Linked DNA regions of Tamandua tetradactyla. The protein of the gene in region 1 purifies or fractionates together with the protein of each later gene. This does not show direct contact. Links are inferred from orthologs where the notes say so. Each region holds a gene or a part of one and is shown in the gene's direction. Other genes may lie near its edges. The genes, in order: PABPC4, ATXN2, PAIP1 and MKRN1.

What was found.
Region 2: the proteins of PABPC4 (region 1) and ATXN2 purify together in Homo sapiens (affinity purification with mass spectrometry; 4 studies listed by BioGRID and IntAct, with this or other methods). This does not show direct contact. The link is inferred for Tamandua tetradactyla from reciprocal best matches to the Homo sapiens genes PABPC4 and ATXN2.
Region 3: the proteins of PABPC4 (region 1) and PAIP1 purify together in Homo sapiens (co-immunoprecipitation; 3 studies listed by BioGRID and IntAct, with this or other methods). This does not show direct contact. The link is inferred for Tamandua tetradactyla from reciprocal best matches to the Homo sapiens genes PABPC4 and PAIP1.
Region 4: the proteins of PABPC4 (region 1) and MKRN1 purify together in Homo sapiens (affinity purification with mass spectrometry; 3 studies listed by BioGRID and IntAct, with this or other methods). This does not show direct contact. The link is inferred for Tamandua tetradactyla from reciprocal best matches to the Homo sapiens genes PABPC4 and MKRN1.

The regions. Positions count from the first base shown.
Region 1 is NC_135328.1:185,799,112-185,806,211, forward strand, and holds the start of PABPC4 (polyadenylate-binding protein 4), read left to right. Parts: upstream 1-4,207; 5' UTR 4,208-4,297; coding exon of another isoform or gene 4,298-4,344; 5' UTR 4,345-4,636; coding exon 4,637-4,829; intron 4,830-7,100. Other genes in the region: uncharacterized protein LOC143658260, read right to left, coding at 3,322-3,688, 3,791-4,207, 4,298-4,344.
Region 2 is NC_135331.1:12,234,230-12,242,118, reverse strand, and holds the start of ATXN2 (ataxin-2), read left to right. Parts: upstream 1-4,879; 5' UTR 4,880-4,962; coding exon 4,963-5,198; intron 5,199-7,889. UniProt on the Homo sapiens protein: Involved in EGFR trafficking, acting as negative regulator of endocytic EGFR internalization at the plasma membrane.
Region 3 is NC_135335.1:93,719,184-93,726,105, reverse strand, and holds the start of PAIP1 (polyadenylate-binding protein-interacting protein 1), read left to right. Parts: upstream 1-3,910; 5' UTR 3,911-4,142; coding exon 4,143-4,410; intron 4,411-4,615; exon of another isoform or gene 4,616-4,798; intron 4,799-4,999; coding exon 5,000-5,169; intron 5,170-6,922. UniProt on the Homo sapiens protein: Acts as a coactivator in the regulation of translation initiation of poly(A)-containing mRNAs. Its stimulatory activity on translation is mediated via its action on PABPC1. Competes with PAIP2 for binding to PABPC1.
Region 4 is NC_135327.1:183,909,547-183,916,841, reverse strand, and holds the start of MKRN1 (E3 ubiquitin-protein ligase makorin-1), read left to right. Parts: upstream 1-4,274; 5' UTR 4,275-4,445; coding exon 4,446-4,636; intron 4,637-4,830; exon of another isoform or gene 4,831-4,959; intron 4,960-7,295. UniProt on the Homo sapiens protein: E3 ubiquitin ligase catalyzing the covalent attachment of ubiquitin moieties onto substrate proteins. These substrates include FILIP1, p53/TP53, CDKN1A and TERT.

The DNA.
Region 1 (7,100 bases):
TCTTTTGATATGTTCATGTCATCTCTGAAGAACAGAGTTCTTCTGAAAGTAGACTGCCCCAGTGAAAAAAATATTAGCACTCCACCCCCAAAAGCTCTTATTGAAGCTTTACGCCCAATCCCAGCAAAGGTAGATTCGTACTGACCTGCCTAGGCCAGTCACTTTCAGATCACTGGCCTGGTTATTGGTTCAGTCTCTTCCTACCCAACATTGAGCCCTAATCAGGTATTGTTTAATTTTGCAGGTTGGACTCCAGGCTCCTTCTGGTGGCTTTACATATCTCCCCCCTCTAAAACAAAGTGATAATCTTGTGTCAGTTGTAGGAAATGTAAATGTTTTGATTTCCAAGAAATTTAGGGACCTTCCTTGACTCAATCCCTCACCTCCCACATCTAATTAGTTACAATTTTTATTGTCTACTTATTTCTTAAACCAAACCACTTCCGCCCCCCCCCCCCCCCCGCCCCATGGTCATTACCTTAGTCTGCCATCATCTTGCATGTCCCCTTACACCCATCCTCTAAACCGTTTCCATATTGCAACCAGAGATGTTTTCATAAAAATGCAATTCAAATCAAGGCATTTGCTCATCAGTGCCCAGCATTCCTTCATTTATTTGACAAATATTTATTGAAAGCTTAAATAGAGCTTTGTGCCATGTTAGGCACGGTTCTAGGTTTCAGTTCTCACAAAGCTTATATACCAGTGGAGGGAAGACAGGCACTTTAAACAGATACACACACATACACACAATGTAATTTGTGATTTCAGGTAGTAATAAGAGCATTGAAGACAAAGAGACAGGATGGTGTGATAATAATTAACAGTGGCAGACTACCTTAGACTGGGCAGTCTGGGAAGGCTCCCCGGAGGAGGGGACCTATTTATAGGAAGACTTTCCCTCCTGTCTTAGTTTGCCAGGCTGCTAGAACAAATGAGTTGGCTTTGGGAGTTCAAAATCATGCTCTCTCCCCAAAGTCTGTAGCGTTCTGACGCTGGCTTACTTAAGCATTCCTTAGGGTTTCTTGGCTTGCATCTCTGCCTCCCATTACATGGTGATCTCTTTCTTCTGTGTCTGCTTTTCCAGTTTCCACTAACTTGTGGCTTTTTTCTGTGGCCTTCTCTGACTGTGTCTGAATTTCTTCTGCTTATAAAGGACTCCAGTAACAATGATTATGGCCTACCTTGATTATACTAAGCCATACCATAACTAAAAATAACATCTTCGAAGGTCCTGTTTATACACGAGCTCACTCTCCCAGGAATAGGGATTAAGATTAAGAACATGGCTTTCCTTGGGTTACATAATTCAACCTACCACATCTGTCATATTTACTATGGTATCCCCCAGCATTTATAGCTGGCACTGCCATAGAGTATAGTCCCTGATTATTTATTTGAATGAATGAATATATAAATATGTATATTTCTTCATTCATTTACTTAGATCAGTAGTTTTCAGTGAGTTTGCATGCCTTTTGGTAATTTCTGGGTTTGGTTCTCAAAATAATGGAGGAGCCTTTTATCTACCTTATCAACAGATGAGTAAAACATATGGAATAAAAATAAATAGTAGGGGGAACAAATGTTAAAATATATATTAGGCTAAAATGCTAGTGATCAATGAAAGGGAGGGGTAAGGGGTATGGTATGCATTAATTTCTTTCTATTGTCTTTTTATTTCCTTTTCTGAATTGATGCAACTGTTCTAAGAAATGATCATGATGATGAATATGCAACTATGTGATGATATTGAGAATTATTGATTATATATGTAGAATGGAATGATCATAAGTTAAGAATGTTTGCATTTGTTGTAATATATATTTTTTTAATTTAAAAATTAATAAAAAAAATAATGGAGAGTTCCTGGTGTTTAGGGACGAAGGGATGCTATATAGTTTGCTAGGCATGGAGACAGTCCCACATACCATAGAATTGTTTCATATCCCACAACTTTCAAGTGACCTGCCAGATCTCAGGTGGATGAAAACTCTCTTTATAATTACAGGAGCCTAGGCACTAACTCCCTTTTACATGGAAACAGAAGATATTTTTGTGCCTTTAAATAGAAACTAAATTTACAGGAATGCCATTACCATGTAAATAGAGGGATAATCATATTTTGTTTTATTGAAGCTTTACCAAAATCTGTTAATCTTTTCAGCAAATCACACTACCCACAGAAACCACTGCATTTCTAGCTGCCACATTCTGGACGATTCTATCTTTAAGTCCCAGATTCTGAGAATTTCCATATGTCTTCTTGAGTATGGGGCCCCAAATATTTATATACTGAGCCACTTATTATTTATTTGGAAATTATTTTACCTCTTTTTTTTTTTAACTTTTTTTTTTAGGTGCATGGTCCGGGAATTGAACCCGGGTCTCCCGCATGGAAAGCGAGCATTCTGCCACTGAACCACCCATGCACCCTTAAGTCTTTTTCAGTAAATCATTTTATTTCATCTTTATTTTCCAATTAGGCATTACATTTTTTTGGTCATTTCTAGCTTTTTAAAATTATTAGAGCAGTTGTAGGTTTACAGAAAAAAAAATCAAGCAGAAAGTACAGAGTTCCCATAAACTCCACTCCCACAGTTTTCCTATTATTAACATTTTGCATTATTGTGGTAGCTTTGTTACAATTGATGAAAAAAATTATTATACTATTGCCCATAGTCCATAGTTTATCTTTGGTTTCAGGTTCACTCTTCGTGTTGTCCTTTTTTTTTTCCTGCATGCTGTAAGGCGGGGGTCACATTTCATTCTTTTTCCACGTGACTATCCTGTTATGGCGGCACCATTTGTTGAATTTTTTGTTTGTTTTTGTTGGTTTCTTTGTTTGTTTGGGAAGTGCATGGGCGGGGAATCGAACCGGGTCTCCCGACATGGCAGGTGAGAGTCTACCACCGAACTATGCTCGCACCCCTGCACTGTTATTATTTTTTTTCTAAAATTTTATTCTAGTAACATATATACAACCAAAAATTTCCCATTTATCCACTTTCAATTATACAAGTCGACGGTATTAATTACATTCACAACTTGTGCCATTTTCGCCATCCATTACCAAAACTTTGCCATCACCCCAAACAGAAACTCCAAGCCAATCAAGCATCAATTCCCTATTCCCCACTCCCTCCCAGCCCCTGGTAACGTGTATTCTAGTTTCTTAATGTTATGAATTTGCATAGTCTAATTATTTCAAATAAGTAATATCATACAGTATTCATCCTTTACATTGATTTTTTAATTTTATGCGTGTGGGTGGGTTATATTATCTAAGGGTTATATTATCTAATCACCATTCCCGGGTGATTAAAGGGGGTGGGGGGATTGTAATATATTTATTATGCAAAGGAGTCCTTGGGTCTGGTGAAAGCCCGGACCAGGATACCTGAGGTCCACTCTGCCTGGAGCCCGGAATGGAGCGGCCAGCGGCAGCGCGGTCCTCCCACCGCCAGGTGTCGCTGTGGTGCCGCGCAGACGCGCCGGGTCGCTCTCGCGTGACCGTCCCGCCTCGGGTACCCGGGCCGAGTGGGCGGGCACGGCTGCGCCCAGGTCGCGAGGCGCCCTTCGACCAGCAGCGCCCGGGGCGGGCGGGTATAAATGGAGCGGTGGCTCCCCCACCCGCCTCTCTCCGCCCCGGGTCGCCGCTGCCTTCGCCGCTTTCAGGCCCAGCAGCCTGAAGAAAAAAAGAGAAAAAGATTAAAAAGAAAAAAAAAAACGAAAACGCTTTAAAATCTTAAAAAAAAACGTCAAAAAAACCGAATCCTTCTCGGAGAACCTGCGAGGAGTCACTTTTGCACGCTTCCGGCCTGCCCCGCGCCCGCCGCCGCCGGAATCTCGCGTCCGTCTCCGTCTGTCGGTCCGGTGGTGAGCCGCCCGTGCCTGCCCGCCTGGGCCTGTGCGCTCCCCGCCGCGGGCCCGCCCTCCTCCACGCGTCTCCACTGTGAGCCTCGCGCGTCCGTCTGTCCGGCCCGCCGCGCGTCCCTCCCTGTCCGCACGCGCCGCGTGGCAGCCTCGGTGCTCGTCGGCTCCGCGGCGCGTCCTGCTGCCCCTCGCTTCCTGCGGGCCGGCCTCCCGGCGCACCACGTGTCGGCGCTGCCCTTCCCCGAGCCCGGCGTGGGAGGCGGCTGCGCGCAGCGTCCGCCTGGGGCTTGCGGAGTCGCACGGACGAATATTTTGTTTCCCTCTTCCCTGGCTGTTGTAATTTTAAACCGCCAGGACCCCGAGGCCTATATTTATAGAGAAACGCGTGTCCCGAAGGCCGCTGTGGGCAGCGTTTGATTGCCTCTTGGAGAATTTGTGTTTAACTCGGAAGGAGATTCCCGTCGTCATATTTTTTGAAATTTGTAGGTTCAAACCAGGACAGCTGAAAATTCCACCATCACCCCACCCCCCCAGGGAGGGCCATATTGTTTTTGAGAGCCTTTTGTCTGAGGTTTTGCAGAGTCTCTCCAACGAGCTTTCCCCAAGCTCCTGTATATCGGAGCCTACTCCAGCTTCTCTTAGCTTAACTTGCCACCTGTGAGCCGCAGCGCAGACTACGGCTCAGAGAAGAGCCTCTTTTGTCTTGTGGCGGTCCGTATAAGAAGTCCTGGCGGGGCTCGGGGTGGTGGGGGGTGGGGAGATGAACGCTGCAGCCAGCAGCTACCCCATGGCCTCCCTGTACGTGGGTGACCTGCACTCGGACGTCACTGAGGCCATGCTTTATGAAAAGTTCAGTCCTGCGGGACCTGTACTGTCCATCCGGGTTTGCCGCGACATGATCACCCGCCGCTCCCTGGGTTATGCGTACGTCAACTTCCAGCAGCCGGCTGACGGTGAGTAGGAGCTCTGTCCACAAAATCTTGGGGTCTACAGAGACCCAGGGAGTTAGCTTCTAGGCACGCCCCACTTCCCAGGAAGGGGTGGGGTGGGGGGAATCCAAACATCATTTTGTGCAGAAGTTGAAGTGGGAGCTGGAGGCAAAGAAAGAGGTGAGAACATGGCACCTGGCATCAGTTTCAATCTTTCTTTCGTACTGGCTGGCTGGGTGACCTTGGGCTAATTAGTGGTGAGGTGGGGTTGGAACCCAAGAAGACTGTAAAGGAGAGCAGAGTGAAGTCACTGTCAGCCCATTGTGTGTGTGTGGTCCTGCTTGAGTGGGCCCTTCAGAGACTTTGTACTAGTCAGTGGACATGGGCTTGTGCCCCTCAGAAGCCTGCCAAAAAGGTAGGATGAATGAAACCCAATTCGCTGCAAAAATTTTAGATTGCAAAATTACTAACCCCTCCCCCACCTTTGCCTTAAGAGTCAGTTTGATTTGATATTGATAAGGGGTCTTTCAGGGCAGATAGGAAGCAGAGGAACAGATCTGTGGATTAAACAGGGACATGTGCTAGCACCACCAGACCCATGTGTTCAGCTGGTAGCCAGGCGAGTTCTCTATCCTGCATGTTTGCCCCAGGGGTGGAGGAATTGTTTGCTGTGGACATGCCCTGGACTGTGGAGAATGTTAGCTAGTTAGGCTGGGGAAGCACCACCTGAAAGTCCACTGGTCTGGTGGCTGGGGCTGGTGGGCATTATCACCTCAGCTGTGAAGAGCATTTTACACTGTGCAAACATCTTTCACTTCATCCTATCCGAAGGGAAATAAGACTCCTTTGAAGAAAAAGGGACTGCAAAAGGTTGGAGGTTCAGTCTACCCCAGATTGTGACTTTAGCCTGGAGCAGTGGAGAGATACGCTGCAGGCGTGGCAGGAGTGAAGCCAAAGGAAACCCAATCAGGGGCTGCATGTGACTCCAGATTAAAAGGGAACAACTGCAGAGCCCTTACTGGGAGAAATAAGCCATTCTATGGCAAGGATCTCCAGCTCCCTACTCTTGTCCCCACTTTGTTCACTCCATAAAGCAAATACAGAGAATGTAACTTTCCTAGGATGCAGCTGAGAGCAGGGAATTGGGCCTGGGTTGAAGTGAGACAAGGCACCGCGTACTGTCAATTCAGTGTACTCAGCTGAGTTCTGTCTCTGGCCACATAAGTACAGAGAAGGTGTCTGAGGGTGTGGCCTTTTTAGGAGGAAGTGGGGGTATATACATTATTTCTTGCCTGCCTTCTTACCTCTTCTGAACAAAAGTGCTGTCACTTGGAGATAGTAGCAGAAGCTTGATCAGTGTTTCTGCCAACACATACCTCTGCAGGACCTCTCCCTGCTATAAATAAGTGCAGCCAGATTTGTCAGACTAAGCTGACTTGCCTTGTTGCAGTGCTATCTGGAAATAGAAGAGTAGTTGGGTCGAAATGGGTGTCTTTACTGCTTATTAGTAAAATACAATTGGGCTTCCCAGTTGTGTATCACAGAAAATTATCACAAGCAAAGTCCTATACCTGGGCTTTTTCTATGGCTCTGTACTGCCATCTTCTCTTCCCCTTCATAACTGAGCAAGCTGCCTTTCTCAGATGTGGGAAAGATTGTTGGAAATAAGTGGGAAAAAAAGATATTCCCTTGACTTGATGTAAAGCTGAGCCTGTGGAGGGGTGGGTAGGGAATTTTGTCTATCTTTTAAGTGAAATGTTCTCGAATGGATGCTTTAAAGTAGGAGAAAGCTCCCCAACTCTGACGCTGTGTGAATCTTCTCATGGAAGTTCTAAGTGATGTTATTGCTTTAGTGAAGTCACTGCCATGAGATAATAGTGTAAGTTTGGAAAAGTGGCACCAGCTCTGGGTGTCCTTGTTGCTGCTGTTGAAGACAAGTATATCCGGCTGCAGATGATTATAATTTAGGTTCTGGTCCTTTAAATGGTGCAAACATTGTCTTGGTTGGGAAGCTGAGAAAAAGTCCCAGGGCACTGGATGGAGAACTGGTTGGGTGAGCACCAGGGCATTGAAATCTTGGAATTACACAGAACTCAGCTTAAGGCTTCAGCACTTTTCAGATGTTCAGGTTCAGAAGACACAGGAACCTACTAGGTGCGGGGCCCACGTGCATCATCACCTTAAGCAGAAACCATCCTTTCAAGGAGTTTCCTCAGTCTATGATAGGGATAATTTTAACTGTCCCACCTGAGCTACTGTGGGTAGGCTGCAAAACCCTTTATAAGTGATAAAGCT
Region 2 (7,889 bases), on another chromosome or scaffold:
AAACAAAACGAGCAACTTAACAACCAGAAGTGTGCTGGTGTGGAGGGAACAGATAATTTAAAAGCTTTTCAAAGAATGTCGCTGTGCTCCCTGTTCTTTTGCCACTGTTCTTTCGCCACACTGCTTTGTTTTTTCCACACCTGTGGGAAAGCAGTTACTTTTCATACAAAGTGTATAAATAATGCCTCCAAGCAGCATCTCCCCCAACACCCATCTTTCCTTTCTTTTTTTTTTTTTTTTTAATATTGTTTTAGTGTTTTGGCATCCCTAGAGGGTCTACAAATAGATTTGCCTCTAAGAATTCTGAGTAACCACAGTCAGGAGAAAAAGCAATGGTTTAATTAGCCACGGTCCTATTTTTGAAATTACATCTGCTTTTTTTTTTTAAAACTGAGTATCTGTCTATGCAAGAATTTGAAGAGGATGGATTTTGGTGGGGGGGGATGCATGTTAGTTTTGATTTGAATTAACTTTCATGCTGTGGAAATCAAAATCAAGAGTATTGAGTGAATAATGTATCATCATACATTAAACAGGCTCAAATGAAGACAGCTGACAGAAATGATTACAGAAAAATGAATTGCTGGAAATATGGGGTCCTCTGCTGTGTGCTATTATATGAGAGATAACAAATCACTCCACACATTTCTGTGCTTTGCATGGTTCTATCAGTTTTTCATCCCCAAATTCCCAGACTTGATTAATCACTGAAGTAATGAAAATTAACAGGCTAATAAAGGATCATGTGGCTTGAGGAGTCACTGGAAATCAGAAAGCAAGGACAGAAACCACAGGACTAGATTCCCAAATCTGAAAGTCTTTCTCTGGATGTTTTCTGTCTTGAGACTTTTTGAATTTCTGAAATATTGGTTGAAATATTTTTGAAGCTTAAATTTTTCCAACACTTCTCAATCTTAGACTGTTTCAGGGCAATATTCTTCGTTGCCTTTGATGACAACTCTCCAAAGACACTTGTTGGTTTTGTTTTAATGACTATCAGAAAAATGTCTGTGGGAGATGAAGGACCATTCAAAATTTTAACTTTCACTGGATATATTATTAGTCCCTAATTTCAGCATCTGTCTTTAAAGAATTCCGAGTCTATGGAAATCATTGGACATGTACCTTTTTTTTGGTCATCTGTATTAGTTATCTATTGCTGTGTTAACAAATTGTCCCCAACTTTAGCAACTTAAAACAGATAGGTTAGGAATCTGGGGACAGCTTAAATGCGTAGCTCTAACTCAGGGTACCTAACCTGAGCTAGATACAATAAAAGTTTCAATAAAGTGTCTGCTAGGCTATATTCATATCAAGGCTTGATTGAGCTTCTATGCTCACTCATGCGGCCTATGACAGCCATTGGGTCCTCACTTGTTGGTTGGAGATGGCAGTTCCTTGTCATATGGACCTCTCTGTAGGGCAGTTAACAGAATAGCAGCTGGCTTTCTTCAGAGCAAGTGAGGGAGAGAGGGCAGCTTGTTTTAGTTTCCTGGCTGCTAAAACAAATATGCAACAATGGTTGGCTTCAGTTAGCTGGGCTTCAAAGGCTAGAGGCTTGCTTCCTCCCAGGTCGGTATCTTCTGGCTGGGGTTCCTTGGCTTTCCCATCACATGACAATGCACGTGGCGGGGTTATCGCCTTTCTCTTCCAGTTTCATTGACTTTCAGCTTCTGGCTGCTCCCCCTTCTCTATAAGACCTCCATGGATAGCATAAAGACCCATTCTAATTCATATGGCCACACCTTTATTAAAAATAGTATCTTCAAAATGTCCTATTTACAGTAGGTTCACATCCACAGGAATGGATAGGATTACGAATATGCTTTTTGGGGATACATAATTCCAAGCCACCCCAGAGCCCAAGGCAGAAGCCAGAGTCTTTCTGTACTATAATCTTGGAAGTGAAAACCCATTACTTTTTCTAACTGTTTGTTAGAATCAAGTCACTAGGCCCAGCCAATACTCAAGTGGAGGGGATATGTCAGAATCTGAATACCAGGAGGAAGGGATCACCGGGGCTGTTTTAGAGACTGCCTACTATACCCTGACATTTTCATATAAAGCTAAAGCCCTCTGACATCATGGTTGCTATAAAATAACCATGTTCTTGGAGGTCTGGAATTCAGGTGAAGGATTTGCAAGAAGGGATATTCCTTGGTTTTAGGTGAGGAGACTCCCTCAAGAAAGTGAAATGGGGAGGAAAAAAAAAGAGTTGACAAGAGAGGTTTTCTTGGTCTCCAATTTAATATAAAAGTAAAGATCAAATTTTAATGCTAAACCCTATACATTGCTGGTGCAAACATAAAATGGTGCAGCCCACCTGGAAAAGAGTTTGACAATACCTTAAAAACTTAAATATATTTCTTTGCTGTTAACAATTCTCAACTTCAAAAAAAAAAGTTAATTATAAATTTACCTTATGACTCAGCAATTTCACTCCTAGGTATCTACCCAAGAGAAATGAAACATATGTCTACACAAAGACCTGTACACAAATGTTCATAGCAGCATTATTCATAATAGGCAAAAGTTGAAAACAATCCAAGTGTCCACTAACTGGTGAATTAATGATGTACAAATCCCATTGGTCTACGCAGTGGAATACTACTTAGTAATAAAAAGGAGCTAAAAACTGATATATGCTACAACATGATAAACTTCAAAAACATTCTGCTAAGTGAAAGAAACAGACACAAACAACCACATACATTAAGATTCCATTTATATGAAATGTCTGGAACAGGCAAATCCATAGAGACAGAAAGTAGAGGAGTGGTTGCCAGAGGTGTGGGTGGAAACTGCTAGTAACTACAAATGGGCATGAGGGATCTTTCTGGGGTAGTGGAAATGCTCTGAAATTAGTGGGGATAGTTGTACAACTCTGTAAATTGACTAAAAATCATCGAATACTTCAAATGGATGACTCTTATGGTAGGAAAAAGTTCAATTATAGTGGATGAGAACTAGCCTACATTTCTCAGCCTACATGAAACCAAGTTCAGCTATGTCAGCTTTATGCCTTCTTACTCTACTTCCCTTTTTTCCCCCATATGCTTGGAGTTTGGTCCTAACACTACATTCTGGGACCTTGGTCCCAGATAAAGCTCTTAAGTCATTAAATCAGAGAAAGTCCATTGTATTTTGATTATAGTTATTTTATTTTTTCCTTCTTCATCTGGTTTTTTAGCCCTGTTTCTTCTGGGCTAATTTTTAAAGGATTTTTTAACTCTAAAGGAATACTACATTTTTTCTCAATCTTTTTACCTTAGATGGGAAATACACCTGATTGCTGATTGCCTGCTTTTCAAGTGTTTGCAATATACAATGATCAGTTTTGCCTAGGCTATGTAGGAGATTAATGTCAGTTCATTCTGGCTACTGGATACATCTGGCTTAATTATTCTTCAAGTTCTTCTAGGTCTTTACGTTTATCTGGACAATTCGAGATTGAAGGGAATTTTGATGTTGATTGCCCTATCATTTCCTTAAACTCACTAAAAAATACAACAAAACACTAGATGCTTCACTCAAAAAAAAAAAAAAGTAGTTATCTACTTGCTTCCAGTTTAATTGCAACACATTTTAAAAACGGACTACTGTGCTGGCTGGCTCTCTTAAGTTAAAGTAAAACTTCTAAAGGGGCCAAGGTCTAAAGTTCGCACATTCTTGTGAAGACTGTTCTGTCTCCGCCGACAGGAGACCCCATTTTTTCATAGCTGTACCAAATCACGTACATTTCCTCTTGAGCCTCATGAAGGAGGTAAAAGAAGTTCAAGTGAGGGGAAAATGGGTTCAAATGAAGGTCAGATACGCAAAAGAGTTTTCTTGGTTACTTTTTTGCTGTTGTAGAAAAAGTGGGGTAAAGGTAACCAGATTTGGGTAGCCTCGGCATGTTGCTCAATCTCAAGTCCATTCGTTAGTCTTGGCAGCGAAACAGAACAGGGCTCTTCTTTGAGACACTCAGTGACACCCGAGGGCCTACTGTGTGCCAGGCGCCGAGGATACAAAGATAACTGTTGAATGCTCGTGTTCATCGCGCCAGTGACTATTCTGCGTGCTTTATACGGAGCAAGACACTCTACCCTCGGAAGGCGCTCGCAGTTCATTTTATACGTTGCGTCAGGTGGGGTCAAACAGGCATTCTTCTCCAAGCTTGAGGACCGAAAAGGCACCTTGGGGGGCGAGGGAGAAAAAACGCTTCCTCCTAGTCCTTTACGCTAGGTTGATCCGGCCGGAGAAGACCGACACGCCCTCGCCAAAGGGCAACCCCGCCTAGAGGAGGGCGGATCCAGGCAGGGCCGGCAGCCGGGCCCTCACCGACCCCCGCGAACGCGGCCCAGACCGGCACCCGCTCCTCACGTGTCCCTCCCGGACTCGGAGCTCCCTCACTCCCTACTTCCGTCTGACCCTGCCGACTTCCGGTAAAGAGTCCCCATCCCGCATCGGCCGCTGGCACGGCCAGCAGCGCTTGGGTGTGTTCGTCTCCCGATGAGCTCGGCGGCCGCAGCTCCTCGGGGCCCTGCGGTGGTCCTTGAGCCTCGCCGATTCGCGGCTGCCAGATGGACCCGGCGGCGCTCGCTCCCGCGATGGGGCGGAAGGGGCGGTGGCGGCACGGCTCTAGGCCCGTATCCCTCCGCCGCCCCTCCCCCGCCCGGCCCCGGCCCCCCTCCCTCCGGGCAGCGCTCGCTTCCCTCCGCCTCAGACTGTTTTGGTAGCAACGGCAACGGCTGCGGCGTGTCCCGGCCCAGCTCCCGGCGGCTCCTGGGTCCCGGCCGGCTTCCCCGCCCCTTCGTCGTCGTCCTCCTCCCCCTCGCGGGCCTGGGTTCCCCCCCGGCCGTGCCAACCCGCGCCTCTCCGCTCGGCGCCCGCGCGTCCCCGCCGCGCTCCGGCGTCTCCTCGGCGCGCCCGGCTCCCTGCTGTACCCGCCTGGCGTGCGGGCCGGTGTATGGGCCGCTCACCATGTCGCTGAAGCCCCAGCAGCAACAGCAGCAGCAGCAGCAGCAGCAGCAACAGCAACAGCAACAGCAGCAGCAGCAGACCGCGGCAGCCAATGCCCGCAAGCCCGGCGGCGGCCTTCTCACGTCGCCCGCCGCCGCGCCACCGCCGTCCTCAGCCTCGTCGCCCTCGCTCTCGGCCGCGGCTTCCTCCTCCTCGGCGGCGGCGGGCACTGGCGGCGGGCGGCCGGGCCTGGGCAGGTGGGTGTCGGCGTCCCAGCCCCCTCCGCTTGGGGCCTGGACGAGGTCGGGCCTCGCGTCCCCTCCCCCGCGGTCCGCACCGCCATCCCCTCCCCGGGACCGGCCTGGCCTAGCGGGGTGGGCTAGGGGCCCGCAGCGGGGGCGGGAGCTCCGCTTTAGACCCTGCAGGCTCGGGTGGGGGGCGCCGTGGGGCCCCTCTGGATTGTCAGGCCGCGTCCATCCTCCTGCACCATCCTCACTCTCCTCCCTAAACGGTCAAGATGGAAGGACCGGGCAGCGTCCCCTTCCCATTGAAATGCTCACAGGTCCCAGCAATTGTCAGCCCCCGTTGCACCTTCTTTAAGCCCTCCCGGTCCCCAGTGGGGGTGAGGGGGATGCTGCGGGCAGCGTCCCCACTCCCGGTTTAAATGTGGTTGGAGTGGTCTTTAGATTTTGTTTCAGTCTCCCGAAACACGTCTCCTCCCCCATGGAGGAATATCGAGGCGGGGGGGGGGGGGATTGGACCGCGTCCCCTGCCTTCCTGTTAAAGGGGCAGCCACAGGACGCTTCTGGAATCGTTGGGGTCTGTCACGTCTCTTCACCTGTGCCCCCTTTCTACTCAGTGAATGATGGAAGGACGGGGGTGAGGTGGGTGGGCAGCAGCCCCCCGCCCCTTCCAGTTTTAAGCCTTAAGGCCGCGGCGGGGTGTCCAGAAGCCCTAGAATGGTCTTGCCCTGTGCAGCCTCCCGCAGCGGCCCGCTCTCCCCCACCTGGGGAAGGGTGGGAGTGCTTGGGCCCCTCCCGGCCTCCCCCTTCTTTCCCTCCTCCCGCATGGCCTCTCCCGCTCGGGTGGTGGCCGATCCGCATTGCCGTTCCGAGGCGGCGGCTAAAGCGCTTTTGCACACTGGTGGGTGAGGGTCGGGCCCAGGCGTGCGCCCGAAGCCCAGGCGGAACTGGGGAGGTGGGGGGTGGGCGGGGGGAGCCCGCTGAGCTTTCTTGATACCCCCTACCCTGATTTCCGAGGTGTTTTTTTTTTTTGCGTGTGTTTGGGGAGAGGGATTGCAGCGGGGGACAGGGTGGGATTCCTGAAGGCAGAAACGTGGGTGTTTCCTTGCGCCTCCCCTCTCCCGCTCCAACCCTCATAACCCAGGTTTGTGCTGAAGGCTGGGGGCTCTGTTATTTCCGCCAGCCGGGTCTAACTCTAGAGTGTGTGTGCCTGTGCGCCAAAGCCTCTTTGGGAGTCAGGGTCGTGTGTCAGTTCGTAATTCACTAACTGAGAAAATGCTTAGCGTTCAAACAGGGTGCAAGTGTCAGTAACACTCCGTTCCATTGTGGCCTGTGTCCTTAACTTGGGGAGTGTCGCCAGCGCTTACCAAGGGCACGCAAGTCCGTTTCCCCTGTGCCCTGAGTCCATCCGTGTTGAAGGCGCTGCCATGCCTCATTTAGGCCGGATTGGCAGGGCCAGTGACCAGCATTCTCCTTAAATAGATGTCGTGGTCTTTTGAAGGTGGAATAAGGGAATTTTTCATGCACTGAGTTTTCTTTGTGAAAACACATTTTCAGCAATCCAGTTACAAAGCATTTTCATTAACCAGCAAAAAAACTTACCCATCAAGATGAATCAGCTGGTTTTTAAGAAATTCTTCTCACTTCAAAGAGGTTGATGTAAAGACGCTTCTGGACTGCTACCCACTCCTACTCCCATAGTTTCCCCTTCTCTAAAGCACCCACAAACCTAGCCAACTAGTTCAAATGAAGGGATCATTTCCCCAGCTCTGTACACTTAGGATTTTGTAACTTTAGTTTCCTTTTTGCAGTGGCATTAATAAAGAAAAATGAAAATTATAAATATAATTTTTACAGAAAGAATTGTTTTCCTTTTAGGTGTCAGGTTGAAATCTGGCAGATATATTTCACTTGCTCAAATAATTAAAAAATTTAAACTAAGGCTTTGAAGAAGTTGCATTGGTTCTCTTTAGGTATAAAAATCACATTATGACAAATAATTTGTTCCGAGGTAGCTTGATTGATCAAAGATACTTGGAATGTTTTAGTACTGTAGGTCTTTTTTCTATTCCTTAGGGCTTCACAGAAATTTAAGGTTCATTTAGATTGTCTTGCTTTAAATTATTTCACCTGATGCGTAAATGGTAGATCTTACTCTTTTTGTTAAATATTTGAAGTTTTGTTTAATGTATTAGTCATATAATGTAAAATTTTGTTCTTGTATAGATTCATGTACTTGTAGAATTGCTTTCAATTTTGAATTACGTTTATTGGGCCCTTTGTAGATCAGTTACAGTTTCTAACCTCACTTATGCTTGAATGTATCAGCAGTAAAATAAGTTTCTGGATCAAGGGTGAAGAAAAAAAGCGCAGCATTGGGTTTGACATGTTCAGAGATAGCAAAATACTCTTGAAAATCTAGAAATAATACTTTTGCTTTAAATAGTATATAATATTTTATCATTTGAGTTTTTTGTGAAAATTGAATTTTCATGGCTTTCAAAATGATTTATTCTGTCTTTAATTGTCATATACATTTCAGAAGGTGGCATTTTGTCTTAGGAAATAACAGTATAACTACAGCTTAAATTTTGAACATAATTTTACCTTAATCCAATTTTTATTTTTGTCTTTTAGTGTTCAGTTCTTGTCAACATTTCTACAGTTATAGTGATTATATATATATTGTGTTCATCTTTTTTCATC
Region 3 (6,922 bases), on another chromosome or scaffold:
AAAGGTATCTTCTGCCTTCAGGTGAGTTCAGTGGAGTTGTTTGCTTAATAAACCAATTATTAACAACCCAGCATGTTAGGAGCTAAGACAGAGTTTGCCCAAGATGCTAATATCACAAAGGAGGAAATCTAAGATTGGATAGATTGGGGAAAGTTCCAGGAGGATACTTAAGCAGACCCTCATAGGTTAAGAGGCATTAACAGACAGGTAAAGGAATGCAGAGATGCTTTAGTAAAATCATGAAGGTACGAAGTAGCTTGGGATATTAGGGTAAATTAGTATTGCTAAAAGGGTGCAGGGAAGTGGGGTGGGGGTAGAACATGTGGGGGAATAACACAAGATGAAGTTGGGGAGTGTGATGGTTGGAAAGGATGTCTGTACCCTAGAAAAGCCATGTTTTAATCCTAATCCCATTTTGTAAAGGCAGCCATTTCTTCTAATCCCTATTCAGTACTGTATGTTTGAAACTTTAATTAGATCATCTCCCTGGAGATGTGACTCAATCAAGAGTGGTTGTTAAACTGGATTAGTTGGAGATATGTCTTCACCCATTCTAGGTGGGTCTTGACTACTTTACTGGAATTCTATGAAAAAGAGATTCTGAACAAGCAGAGAATGAAAGAAGCAGAGAGTCCACCAGCCAGCGACCTTTGGAGATGAAGAAGGAAAAAGCCTCCCGGGGAGTTTTATGAAACAGGAAACCAGGAGAGAAAGCTAGCAGATGACACCATGTTCACCACGTGCCTTTCCAGATGAGAGAGAAACCCTGACTATATATGCCATGTGCCTTCTCATTTAAGAAAGAAACCCTGAACTTCATCAGCCTTCTTGAACCAAGGTATCTTTCCCTGGATACCTTAGATTGGACATTTCTATAGACTTGTTTTAATTGGGACATTTTCTCAGCCTTAGAACTTTAAACTTACAATTTATTAAATTCCCCCTTTTAAAAAGCCATTCCATTTCTGGTATATTGCATGCTGGCAGCTAGCAAATTAAAACAGAGAGGAAAGCAAAAAGGTCTTGTTCTGAGCTGAGGGGTTTGACTTCATTACAAAAGCTACAGGGAAGATTTCTAGCAGTGGACTAACATGATCAGACATGGTTTTAGAAGGATTACCTGGCAGCTAAATGGAGGATAGGCTGGAGGCAAGGAGACTAGTAAAGATAATTACTACTTTCAGTTCTCCTCTTAAAGCCAAGGCCTCCAGGGTGGTCATGGTAGAGATAAGTCTAGGAATCTTGAATTTTATAGACCTCCTCACAGGAATAGGCAGAACAATTTTTAATCTAGCTTAAAGAAACAAATCTTCCCCATAGTTCACAGCAGGTTCTTTTCTCATATTTTACAACCTCTAAAAATTTGTTCTTCTACTCTCCTTTCACCATAAATAAGAAAGGAATGAAGTTGGGGCAGGAGATCTTTTGGTGATTCTCTTCACTTCCCCTTTATGGTGCTCATGTTTTTTTTGTGTGTGTGTATGTGTGTGGTCTCTTGGCATTATGCAATTCCTAGCATCTACCAGTTGCCCTTTAAGCCTCTAGATGAATCTGAGCCTTGTGATATCTTAACATCAAGTTACTTTTCTGTAAAATGAAGATAATGTAAATGTCTACTTGACAGAGTGTGAAGATGAAATGAAATACAAGATTTTGGAACAGCTGTTGATCTTCCAACAACTTGGAACAGTTGACATATAATAAATGTATAAAAATATTAGCTATCGTTATCGTAAATCCACTCATGTTATCCCCTAGTCCAACATTCATACATCACAAGATGACTAGGACTAAAGTTACATAATAGGGAATGGAGGGAAGAAGAAGGATAACATCTCAATTGTCTAACTTGACCCTAATCACAAATGGAGGCTGTATAAGGATGCCCTGATGCCACCATGGACACAGAACGGCCTAATCTTCAAGAAAGTGACAGATGCTAGAAAAGGTGCTAAACATCATAAAATTTTAAGAGGAAAAAAAGGGTGAAAAATGCAAATGAAGGTCTGGGATAAGATTAGGGCATCTAATAAATACCCCTTCCCTGGGACATCCAGCATAACTCATCTTCATTCTTTGCTTAGGCACGAAGTGACTGACTACATAAAAAAAAGATTTTAAAGAGCTTTGCACATCACCTCATGTAATTTTTAAATCGTAATTTGGTCTCTCAAGCATTTATTTGTAATATTTGTCCAGCGCCTCAAGATAGTCTCTTTTTTTTTGTATGCTGTGTGGTGAAGATCACATTTCATTCTTTTTCCATGTATCCCATTATTGCAGCACCAGTTAATTTTTTTTTTGGAAGTGCATGGGCTGGGAATTGAACCTTGGTCTCCCGCATGGCAGATAAGAATTCTACCACTTAACTACTCTTGCACCCACAGTCATTTTGTAAATGAGGAAAATGAGAGGTAAATCCCTTGCCCATGATCAGTCAGTAATGTTCAAGGGTGGAATTCAACCAGACTTCGAATCCTGCATTCTTTCCCTACACCAAGGAACTATACTTCGTGCTGGCTTCCTTCTCTGACTTCAATAGTTTTGCCTAATATAAGCAGCATAAATAATGTATTCATGGTTGTTCTCATTAAAGCCATTTTCTCATTTAGATGAAGACTTTAATGTTTTCATTATTAGCAAAAAAAGTAAGTTTCATTATTAGCAAAAAGAGTAAGTAAATGGTTTTCTTAATTGAAATGACTCTCAAGATGAAAAATCACTGAAAGACAGTATTTCAAGTCCTTCTATTTCTCTTCATAAGTCTCTCCCTTCTGTAAAGAGTGTTAGCTGATGATTAAAATAAAAGATTTTGTGAAGTTGGTTCACTCCAACAGTAAAGAAAAGGTATATGTTTGCCCTTTGTTTTCATTACCTATATTAATCCATTCGGCTTCAGCACCATCAGGCTGACTGAAACATTTTACACATAAATGTCCAGAACTACCTTGTCCAGTGTAGTAGCCACTAGTCACGTGCAGCTATTGAGTTCTTCAAACATGGCTAGCCTGAATTAAGCCTGCTGCAAGTGTAAAATACACATTGAATTTCAACCAATACAACAAAAATTGTGAAGTATCCCACTAATATTTTTATATAAATTAAAGGTTGAAATATTTTGGATATATTGGTTTAAATAAAATCTATTATTAAAATTAATTTCATCTGTGTGTGTTTACTTGTTCAATGTGGCTTCTACAAAATTTAAAACTAGTTAAGTGGCTCATGTTACAATTGGGCAGCACTGGTAGAAGATGAAAAAGGGGAAAGTATCATAGAAAACGTAATAAAATTCTCTCAACATTTTAGAAGCGGAAGAAAAAAAAGGAAGAGATTCAAGTTTAGTGATAGGTTTGGTCTACAGTGATAAAGACCCGGTTGTGAATTAAAGAGGGGGGCGTATTTTGGAACTATTTCTACTCCTCTCCTCCACTGCTAGCCGAGCCGGAGGAAGAATCCCTCCCAAAGGCCCCTTCGCGTCGCGGCCTCGCGTCGCGGCGGGAGCCGGGTCAGTGCACACACCTGCGCGCCCTCTGAGGTGCGCGTCCGCGAACCCTGGCGCCGGGTCCACGCCCCCTCCCCCCGTATTTTTATTTTCCTGGCATCAACCGTCAGTCTCGCACTTCTCTCCAGAGAACCATCGAGCAGCTTGGGCCTCGCAGGGGTAAGTGGCCCCTCAACTCCCATCCCGGCTTCAGGAGCCGAGATGTTCTCGTTCAGCACCCGCTGCCCACAGGGTCGTCCAGCGGCCGAGACGCCGCTCGCCTGCCGGCCTAGTGGGCAGCCGCCGCCGCCCCGCCGCCCCGCCGTCCCGCCGCCGACGAGAGGAGTCGCGGCTGGCGCGCCGGGAGCCTCCGGGCCGCGGGGGGCCGCTGTGACCCGCCTTCGCCCCCGCCGCGCTGAAGGGAAGGGTGCCGGGTTTTGGGGGAGAATCGGAAAGAGCTGGGTAGCCGTGAGGGGCGGGCGCTCTGGAGCGGCGGGTGTTCAGGCTGCCGTCCGCCCCTCCTGAAGCGCGGAGGAGCCTAAGCCGGGGCCCGCCGCCCTCCTCCTCCATGAGGCCCGAGTGAGGCACAGCGACGAGAGCCGGTCTCCCCACCGCGCCCTCTCCCGAGCTCAGCGGCGGCGGCTCCCGGAGGAGGAGCATGTCGGACGGTTTCGATCGGGCCCCAGGTGCTGGTCGGGGCCGGAGCCGGGGCCTGGGCCGCGGAGGGGGCGGGCCTGAGGGCGGCGGTTTCCCGAACGGAGCGGGGCCTGCTGAGCGGTCGCGGCATCAGCCGCCGCCTCAGCCCAAAGCCCCGGGCTACCTGCAGCCGCCGCCGCTGCGCCAGCCCAGAACGGCCCCGCCGCCCGGGGCCCAGTGCGAGGTCCCCGCCGGCCCCCAGCGGCCTCCCCGGCCCGGGGCTCTCCCAGGTACTGAGCAGCGCTTGGGGACCCCCTCGGGCCAACGCCTCCCCACGGCCTTTGGCGCGCGCCGGAATGCGGGCGCGCTCTCTTCTCTCTCTCCACGGTTCCCCGAAAGCATTCCGCTAGGGGCCGGGTGGCTCCGGGGTGGGGAGCCGCGCGGAACCGGGTTTGGAAGGTGGCTGTTGGAATCCTTTGTGCTCCCCGGCGGGGGGAGGGGCCGTCTGCGCGGTCTCCGAGTTCTGCCGAGGGGGGAGTAAAAAGCTCCCCTTCCCCAGCGCTCTTAACGGATACACTAGTCCAAGCAACCACCTTTTTTTTTTTTTTTTAACTGACTCCTTAAAAAAAGGGAAGGGGGGAAAAACAAAAGCCCTCACAGTCACCCATTTGAAGGCAGGTATGTTTATAAATGAGCTAAAGCAAATCTATTGTTCCTTTTTACAGGCTCTTTGTACAGTTCCTGACGATGACCTTAAATTTCGTTATGGTTCTTGTTTAGCTCCTAAAACCAAGCCTTACTCGGATAGCTTTTCAATATATAGTAAATTATTATACAAGGGAATGAAGGAACCTAACACCCCTATTTTTTTTTCTTCAGAACAAACGAGGTCCTTGAGAGCTCCGCCTAGTTCACAGGATAAAATCCCGCAGCAGAACTCGAATTCTGCAATGGCTAAACCCCAGGTGGTTGTAGCTCCTGTATTAATATCTAAGCTGTCTGTGAACGCTCCTGAATTTTACCCATCAGGTTATTCTTCTAATTATACAGTAAGTACTCCGTTTTACTACAGCTCTTGGTTGGTGTTACTGGGATAATGTGACTATAACTTATTAACCATAGTATGCTGGTGCTTTTTGTCCTACTCACAAAAGCATTTTATTATGAACTCATTGAACTCCTGAGGAAATACAATTGATTCAAGAATATATTTGGTAGATATTGTCAAGGTATGAGAATGCCAACTGAAAGTAGGAATTTTTGTATTTAGTTGTCTTCTGTATTCCCAGCACTTATTATAGTTATCAATAAGCAAATAAACTTTATGTTGTTAAGGACATCTTCAATGTATAAAACTAAAATCTTTTTTCAGATTTTATGGGCAACCTGTGGAATAGTAGCCTGGCAAAATTGAGTTTTAATTTGATTTTAGCAAGATAACTGAATATTCACTAATGGCTTAAGGATAAATAAATAGTAGTTTTGCTGTAAACAAATTATGAGGTAGTTGAGAAGTACAGATCTGCACTTTTGTTTGTAGTGATCATTGTTCCGGATTATAGATTATAGAAAATAGAAGTTTTTCTAGATCTAGATACCTACTGTATGTAGATATGTCAAAGGGGATTTTGATAAAGTATTTTGGTGTAAAGAATTTTTAAACTTTCAGAGTCATCTTTGTCAGTAATATAAGAACTTTAAAAGTTGGTCAAACAAATTACAGGAGAAAGCACAAAACGCAGTAGGGTTGCATAGAAAAGAATGTATCATGCTAGGTAAAACAAGATGAGTAAAATGCACAGGAATTGAAGAGAGGTAGAACAGGAACCATGCTACTAAATTAAAGAAATGATTAATAAAACATATCATGAAGTCTGACTTTCACATTTTCCTAATTTTATTGAGATTTAACATATAAAAGGGTGTACAGAAAAATATAACTCAATTTCACAAAGTGAGTACTCAGGTAACCAGCATCTAAATCAAGAAAAAGAACATTATCAATCCCTAAAACCCACCTCTGTCCCCTTCTAATCACTACCAATCACAAGGGTGACCACTATTTTGATTTAACAGATTAGAATAGTTTTGTTTCTCACTTTCATTCTGCAATATTAATCCATGTTGTGTAGCCTGTAATTGGAGGTGGGTTTATCGTCATAGTATAGTATTCCATAGTGATATAGTATAAATAGTATAGTTTTGTTTTTTTTTTTGTGGGCAAATGTACCATGATCTGTTTATCCGTTGATATGTTGATGAACACGTTGATGATATTTGGGTAGTTTCCACTCTGGGGCTCTTTTGAAAACTGCTCGGCCAGTCCATTTCTGGTGGATATATGCCCTTTATCAGTTTGAGGTATACCTAGGAGTGTAATTGCAAGGGTATAGAGTAGTCGTATGTTTAGTTTTGGTAGAGACTGCCATGTAGTTTTCTAAAGAGATTGTTCCAATGTGTTCTCTAAGCAGTATGTGGTTTCTAGTTGTTCTGCTTCCTTATCAGTGGGCTTTTTTTTTTTTTAAGTTTAGCCATTTTGGTGGGTATCTTGTATCTGTTTCCGGTTTTAATTTATATTTTCCTGTTGGTTAATGTTGGCACACCATTTTGTCAAATTCATTGGCTCTTCCATATTTGATAGAAAAAGTCATGTTAACTTTGTATTCTACATTTTAAATATTGCATGCGTTTTAGGCTGCATAGGAAAAAGCTCTGGGGTTGGAAAAGTATAGACATAGCAGGAAGAGCAGTTGATTTGGGGTGGAAGGAGTCATCTATCATGTAAAATAGAAATGCTAATAC
Region 4 (7,295 bases), on another chromosome or scaffold:
ACCAAGTCTGTTCGTTATTTATCTAGGTAATTGGGCATCCTGTACTTTTATTTGCTAAATCTGGCAACCCTCTTCTAATGTAATATTGCAAAGACAACAAAAGCAAACACTTATCAAGCACAGTCCGGTGACTGTCCTTTAAGCTTTACATATATTATGTTTTATAAGGAAGATATTAAAAAAAATTTATTAATAAAACCAATCAACGTACAATATGAACATTATCTTTTTTATCACATAGTTGTATATCATCATCATAATCATTTCTTAGAACATTTGCATCAATTCAGAAAAAGAATAAAAAGACAACAGAAAAAAAATTCATACATACCATACCCCTTACCCCTCCCTTTCATTGATCACTAGCATTTCAATTTACTAAATTTATTTTGACATTTGTTCTCCCTATTATTTGTTTATTTTTAATTCACGTTTTACTCATCTGTCCAAAAGGCAGATAAAAGAAGCATCAGACACAAGGTTTTCACAATCACACAGTCACGTTGCGAAAGCTATATCATTATACAATCATCTTTAAGAAACATGACTCTACATTTTCAGGCAATTCCCTCCAGCCTCTCCGTTAAGCCTTAAGTAAAAAGGTGATATCTATTTATTGAGTAAGAATAACCTCCAGGATAACCTCTAGACTCCAAAATCTCTCAGCCATTGACTCGTAGGCCTAGCCTATCCTTTTAAGTAGGCTTAGCCTATCCTTTGCAGGGTTAAATTTTATATGAACAAACCTCAGGATTGGGGGCTCAGCCTATTGCTTTGGTTGTCCCCACTGTTTGTGAGAATATCAAGAATTCTCTACTTGTGGAAGTTGAATTTTCTCCCTTTGTCACCATTCCCCCAAGGGGACTTTGCAAATACTTTTAATTCACTGTTCAAATCTTAAGGGGTGATTTTGATTACTGAATCATATTCCTTTTTGCTTTCTGGGATATTGGGGTAGACAGAGGGGAATACCTGAAATCCCAAAATCAGCTGCCCTGATATCTGAAATGATTGTAAAAGCCCTTATCTTGTGCCTTTGTGACTGTAAGAGCTGTTAGTCCTTTCATCTGATCATTTTCTTGCAGGGGAAAGGCCCTAATGCTAATGAAGAATTTGAAGTCAGCCATTAACTAGCTTCAGCCCACGACATTTGTAAATCTTATCACCTAGACTCTACTATTGAAAGATAACTTGTCTCCCTTCCTTTAGGCTTATACCTTTAGTATTGATGAAATAGTTCTGCCTCCCCTCCTTTCAGTTTATATTCTCCTATTGAAATGATAATGAAGCACTGTCTCCTTTTCTGCTTTGAATTTGCTATTCGAAATGATCTCATCTCCATTGCTAAAATTCTTAAAAACCTTGAACCCTCTAAATTTAGGGAGACAGATTTCAGGCCGTTAGGGCATCTGGTCTCCTACTATGCACCTAGTAATAAAATCTCACTTTGAAACCCTGGGGTCTCAGGAATTGGTTATTGAGCATGTGGCAAAAGAATCCATGACCATTGTCCAGTAACACTTTCATCTTGATAGTCTTCCTTTCTTTCCTTTTCTTCTTCCTACCAAATGTTCCTAAACTGGCCTTGATCCCCAAGCAGTAGAGGCTGATAAGGCAAGTCTCCTTGGCTCCCATATGAGTCACCACCCCACCCCCCACCCCCGACCCCCAGCAGATAGGCACTCTTCTCTGGACTCTGGCATCTGAGAAGACATTAGTAATCTGAGGTTTTGGGGCCCTCATATCATACCAAATTAGGCAGTCAGCTAAACTGCCTATAATTAAGACCCTGTTGGCAGAGGATAAGGACAGTAGAGTCACTAATAAATATTTTTATATTTATCCTTTTGCTGAACTTTTTACCCAGCAATCTAAGCCAGAGATGGCTTTTTGTTTCGTTTATTTTGTTTCTTATAATTAATAAAACATTGTTCCTATTTGGCATGAATGGTGAGTCAAGATACAATATTGCCCAGCTCTTGTTAAAACATCAGAGAGTTCTCTCATTCATTACCCAAATATTATTGAGCACCTACTATTATTGCCAGATGGTTCCAGTCACTTGGGATATAACTGTGAACAAATCAGGCAAAGATCCATGCCCTCATCGAGCTACTATTCTAGCTAGGAGAGGCAGGCACTAAACAATAAACATAATATATAAGCAATTCCTATGGTAAGTTAGAAGATAAAGGCTAGGAAATAAAGAAAAGAAGAGGGAGCAGTGTAAAGGGTCTGGGAGTCGGGTAGGGAGGAGTGAGGAAACAGGCTGTGATGTTTTTAGAAGGCCCTTGTTAAGAATCGAGATTTGAATAAAAGTGACGGTGGGACTACTGTGTCTGGGTCAGCAGAGGCCAGACATCTGGAAAGGAGAGAGCAAGGAGAAAATAGAGATGAGGTCAGAGGAGTGGGGATATGGGAGAAACCAGATCATACAGAGTCTTGTAGACCTTACCCTGCTTGGAGGGCTTTGAGCAGCGGAAGAACATAATCTGTGTTCATTCTAAAAGCATCAGCTTGGCTGCCATGTTGAGTAGGAAGATCAAAATTTCAAGTCTCAGCATGGTCCGGCATGTGTGAACTTGGGGGCAGCCCTGAGTCCCCTCATCCCTCCACTCTTTAGTACCAGGTCTGGATTTAGTACAAGGTCAGGCACAAGGTCTTTTAAGGTATGTTGCTAAGACTCAGATCTTCTATGATCTCATATGATAGCATCAAGGACTCTGAACTGGGCACCAAGGCCTGCCAAGCCCGAGGACCCAGGGATTCCCATGCCTGCCCATGTAAAAAAAAAAAAAAAAAAAGAATTGTTTTAAGTGACTTCTTTTACATACAAAAAAAATTTAAGTGCCCCACCCCTTTTTAAACAAGTTATTACCTAATTGATAAAATCCAAAGGATAAAGACTACCAGGTACACATCTGTAGTCAAAGTTAAATTTTTTATGCAGCAGGGGAGACCATAGAGTAGAGGTATTGTATTGTGGGGCATCTTGGAATGGAAGAGTAGGGAGGGGTCTCTTCCAAGGTACAAGTGTGAACTTGCTGATTCTAAGGAGGGGCAAATGATAGAGGAGACTAGCTCTAAATTGGATACTGTCACGAAGAGGGGACAGTTTAGAAATTGGGTGCCTTAGCAATCTTTGTTCAGGAAAGGGACGGAGAAATGATGTATGGCTGGGAAAGTCATTAGTTAAAAAGTACAAATTATTCCAAAGAAGGGGATTAGTAGTCATTTTACAACTATTGTGGCCTTGGGAGAAACATTGTTTTCTGTTGGCTTTGCTACTTAATTTGTCCTTAATTGCGTCTGTAAGGTACATTGTGGTCCGATTATCAGCAGGACTGATTTTCTCAAGGCAGAAACTATAGAAATACAGAATTATTTAAGGGCTTATGAAAAACTGCTTACGGAAGATCATAATTTAATATGCAGCATCTGAATGGACAGTGGACATTAATGGGGAAATACATTTTAATTTTCATAGTTTTAGAAATTACTTTCAGAAGTTAAGATATTCCAGACACCTTTAGTTATTCTATAGTAAGCATTACCTGCAGTGTGAAATACAGCACTAAGTGTTTTACGTGGACTTTTATTTAATCCTCAAGACAACCTCTGGGGCAAGTACAATTATCCCCTTCCTCCAGATGGAGAAGACCACAGCCTCAAGAGGTAAGATACCTTGCTCAAAGATATACAGCCAGGAATGGGAGAAGTCAGGAGTTTGAAAAGAGACAAGCTGACTCGAGCCATTTGCTTAGCACGTCGCCACTATGCTATCCTCTTGGGCATTAAGATATTTGGCCAAGGTCACACCACTGGTTAGAAGTACAGAGTTAACATCTTAACTCTGTTCTTATAACAAAGTCCTAGCCTCAGTGATTTCCTTGCATATTACACAATTCTCACAGACCCCACGAGGTAGGATCTACTATCATCCTCATTAGAGAGATTAGGAGATAGGTTTAGAGAGAATTAGTACCTTACCCAAGGTCATACAATAATTGGTCGAGCCAATAAATGGAAAAGTACACATTCAAACCAGGTCCTCCGACCTCAGGTCCCAGATTCCTTCCACAACATCGCCTCTACTAAGAGATAACCCCCTGGGTCAGCCGCTCTTTATATTTGGACTTCTGTCACCCCTCAGATTTTGAACATCTGGGCACACCTGGATAAAACCCCAGTTCTAACTCCTCCCCTTTCTCGGTGAGATCTCTCCTCCGCCAATCAGATGGCGTTGGGGGCGGGCGGAGGGCGGTCAGGCCGGGTCCTGGCAGTTCAAGTTGCCTGAGCGCAAGGAGACGCGGCGCGGAGACCGACGGGGAGCTAGCGGTCGCCTCAGTCCCCTTCCCCTCCCCTGGCCGCGCTCTCTGCGAAGCCGGACCGGAACTATGTGATCCCGGAAGTTCCGGTGCCATTGCTGTGTGGGATAAACAGTAATGGCGGAGGCTGCAGCTCCCGGAACAACAGCCACAACATCAGGAGCGGGAGCGGTAGCGGCAGCGGCGGCGGTGGCAGCGGCCTCCCCCATCCCTATCCCCACAGTCACCTCCCCGTCCCTGGGGGCGGGAGGAGGGGGAGGCGGCAGCGACGGTAGTAGCGGCGGCTGGACTAAACAGGTCACCTGCAGGTAAGACGTTGCGTGGCTGAGCCGAAGGCGAGGGGCGGGGGCCGAGGGCCGAGCGAGAGAGTGAAAGAGGAAGGGAGGGAGGTTGGCTGGCCGAGAGGGAGCGAAGGAGGGAGGGAACTCGGCGTTTGTGCGTCCTCCGCCGCCTGTCTGCCGCCGCGGCCTCCCCTACTCCTCACTGCGTCAACCCCCGCCGGTCCGCGTAGGCCCTAGCGCGGTCCGCGTAGGCCCCGCGGCGCGCGAGGTGCTTTCGGGATGCCCGCCTCGCTACTTGTTTCCCTTCGCCCTAGTCTGGATTCAGCACCTAGCGCCATTCAGTGAGAGAGGTAGGATAACTCCTCCCCTCCTTTTTAGTTTTTAATTGTTGATGCCTTCTCCTCCCCTCCTACCTCCCGCTCTTGAGATTTGGGAGGGGACGGGTGGTTTTCGCTTTGAGCCGGTCCTCCAACGACCCTTTCCGGACCTAGGATACCCGGCAGAAGGCCTCATCGAGGTGCCCTGGCTCCCGGGACCTCTCTACTGTGTCATCCGTTTCTAACGTCTTTTCACGTTTCTCTGCCCCCGCCCCCCTCCCAGCCGTGGGAAGTACCTTTTCTATTTCTTCTTCTTTGTGTGTTTGTCGAGATTGGCGGTTCTGAGCTTTGTCTTAGAAGCAAGTGATGTGCCTGGGTCGTTTTTTCCATTCTTAGTTTTACGAGCTGTTATTACCCTCCCGACCGAAATGTTTCTCTTTTGAAATTCACCATCTCCCTTCTGTAAGGAGTGAAAGGGCTCGTCGCTCCCTGAGGAGAGGTTTTGTTTATTGTTGTTTTTTTCACTACGTTAGCTGAAAAGCCAAAATAAGTGATTGATGGATGGCTGTTATACGGATGTGTACGCATGCAAAAAATTAGCGAGCAGTACAAGTAAGATTAGAGCACTTAACTGTGTTACACCTCGATTTTTTTAAAAGTGATCAGTAACCGCTATAAGCGTTTCTTTTTCCTAACGTTAGAAAAATTCCACCTGAAGCTCTGGTTTTCACCTTGGCGTGGGATACTTTATACGTAAATGCATTTGAAATATTCCTGATATACTTAACGTAGCGTCCTAGTATTAACCGCGAAATTGAAGTGCTCCCGGTGTTATTATTCATTTAACGCGTGGATAATAAGTATCATCAGTAATGGCATAGAGAAAGCATAAGAATCGTTTTCTCTTATAATTCATATGTAGATCTTAACAATGAAATCCAGGGGAATATCCCAAGGAATAAAAATTTTAAAGGCATTCATTAAATCAATTATTTGAGTCTCTGCTTTTTTTTTTCATTGTATGACCAAATGATTATATGTGCTAATTAACTCTTAAAAAGAAAAGAACTGTGACCATTTTATTAATTTTCTATCCATTCATTCAGTCCCAATTTACCCCATGCCCTGAAAATAATCTTCCTTGAATATGCCAATTCTTAGTGCCTTGATTTTACCCACCATTTCTAATTTAAATATAGTCTAACCTTCCCATCAACCTGAAACTGATTATTTCTATACTTATTATTACCCTGTTGAGTCTGTAACTTGGGCCCAATTTTACATCTCTGCACAGAATTCATTTTCACTTGCAAAACACTGCTCCCCTCTGCTAGGCACTTGCCCTTGTTCCATTTCCCATTCCCTTTTCTACTTCCTCATCAGTTCTTTTTTCAGAAACAGAGCTGACCAGACTGAGCATTCCTTTAGGGTCTTTGACTTTATGAAATAGTTCTGAAACAGTGAGGATTTGTATTTAAGAAACAACACATCGCCAAGTAACCTAGTAATTTGAAAAAGCATTATGTAAAAGATGCAGGCTTAGTTGTACTAGTTTCTGGTATCTTAAGTGTGTACGTACACGTGTGTGTGTGTGTGTAAACCTATATAGCTTTTGCTTTACAATTAACTTTAAAAAATACAAGATTAGGTGAAATGACTTGGGATTTACTGTTTGACTTTATTTTTGGTTATTCTAGTTGCCCAACAATCTAGTTTTTAAAAAATCTTTGAATAGAGGAGTATCAAATATGAGCTTCATTTATTCTTTGAGTGAGCTCTCTGGAAACAGGGATCCTATTTTGTTGATCTGTTGCACCTCAGTGCTTGACATAGAGCAGATGCTCAATATATGCTTGAATTGATATGGTATACCTATACTAAAAGTAACTACTTTTTTTTTTCTTTAAAAGTAACTACTTTAATATGTATTTGTATGATTTCTTTCATTTTAAAAAAACTTGGAATAATTAACAGAGATGGGACTTAATAGAATATGTATGTATCTTTTTGATGCTACTTTTTTCAGTCATTAAGCAAGCATTGAGGGCCTAGAACAAGGAACAGTGCTAAATGTTAAAGGAAATAAAGAAGTATGGTGTATCATAAATAATTTTAATGTGTAAAATTGTATTTAAACCTCCTTTATAGAGAATTCAAGGTGGTCTCATGTTCCAGTGTCTGTATGTATTTCCCCTATAGCAGACCATTCTTATATCTAGGAATTTGTCTAAGGCTATTTTCTTCACCTAGGGTATAATTGTCTTAGAAGTTCTTTGAATGAGGATATTTGTTTTTAACTGCCCAGAATTGTCTATTTTCTTGATTATTACTATTTTCTTAATATTTCTCTTGAAATTCTATCTCACTGT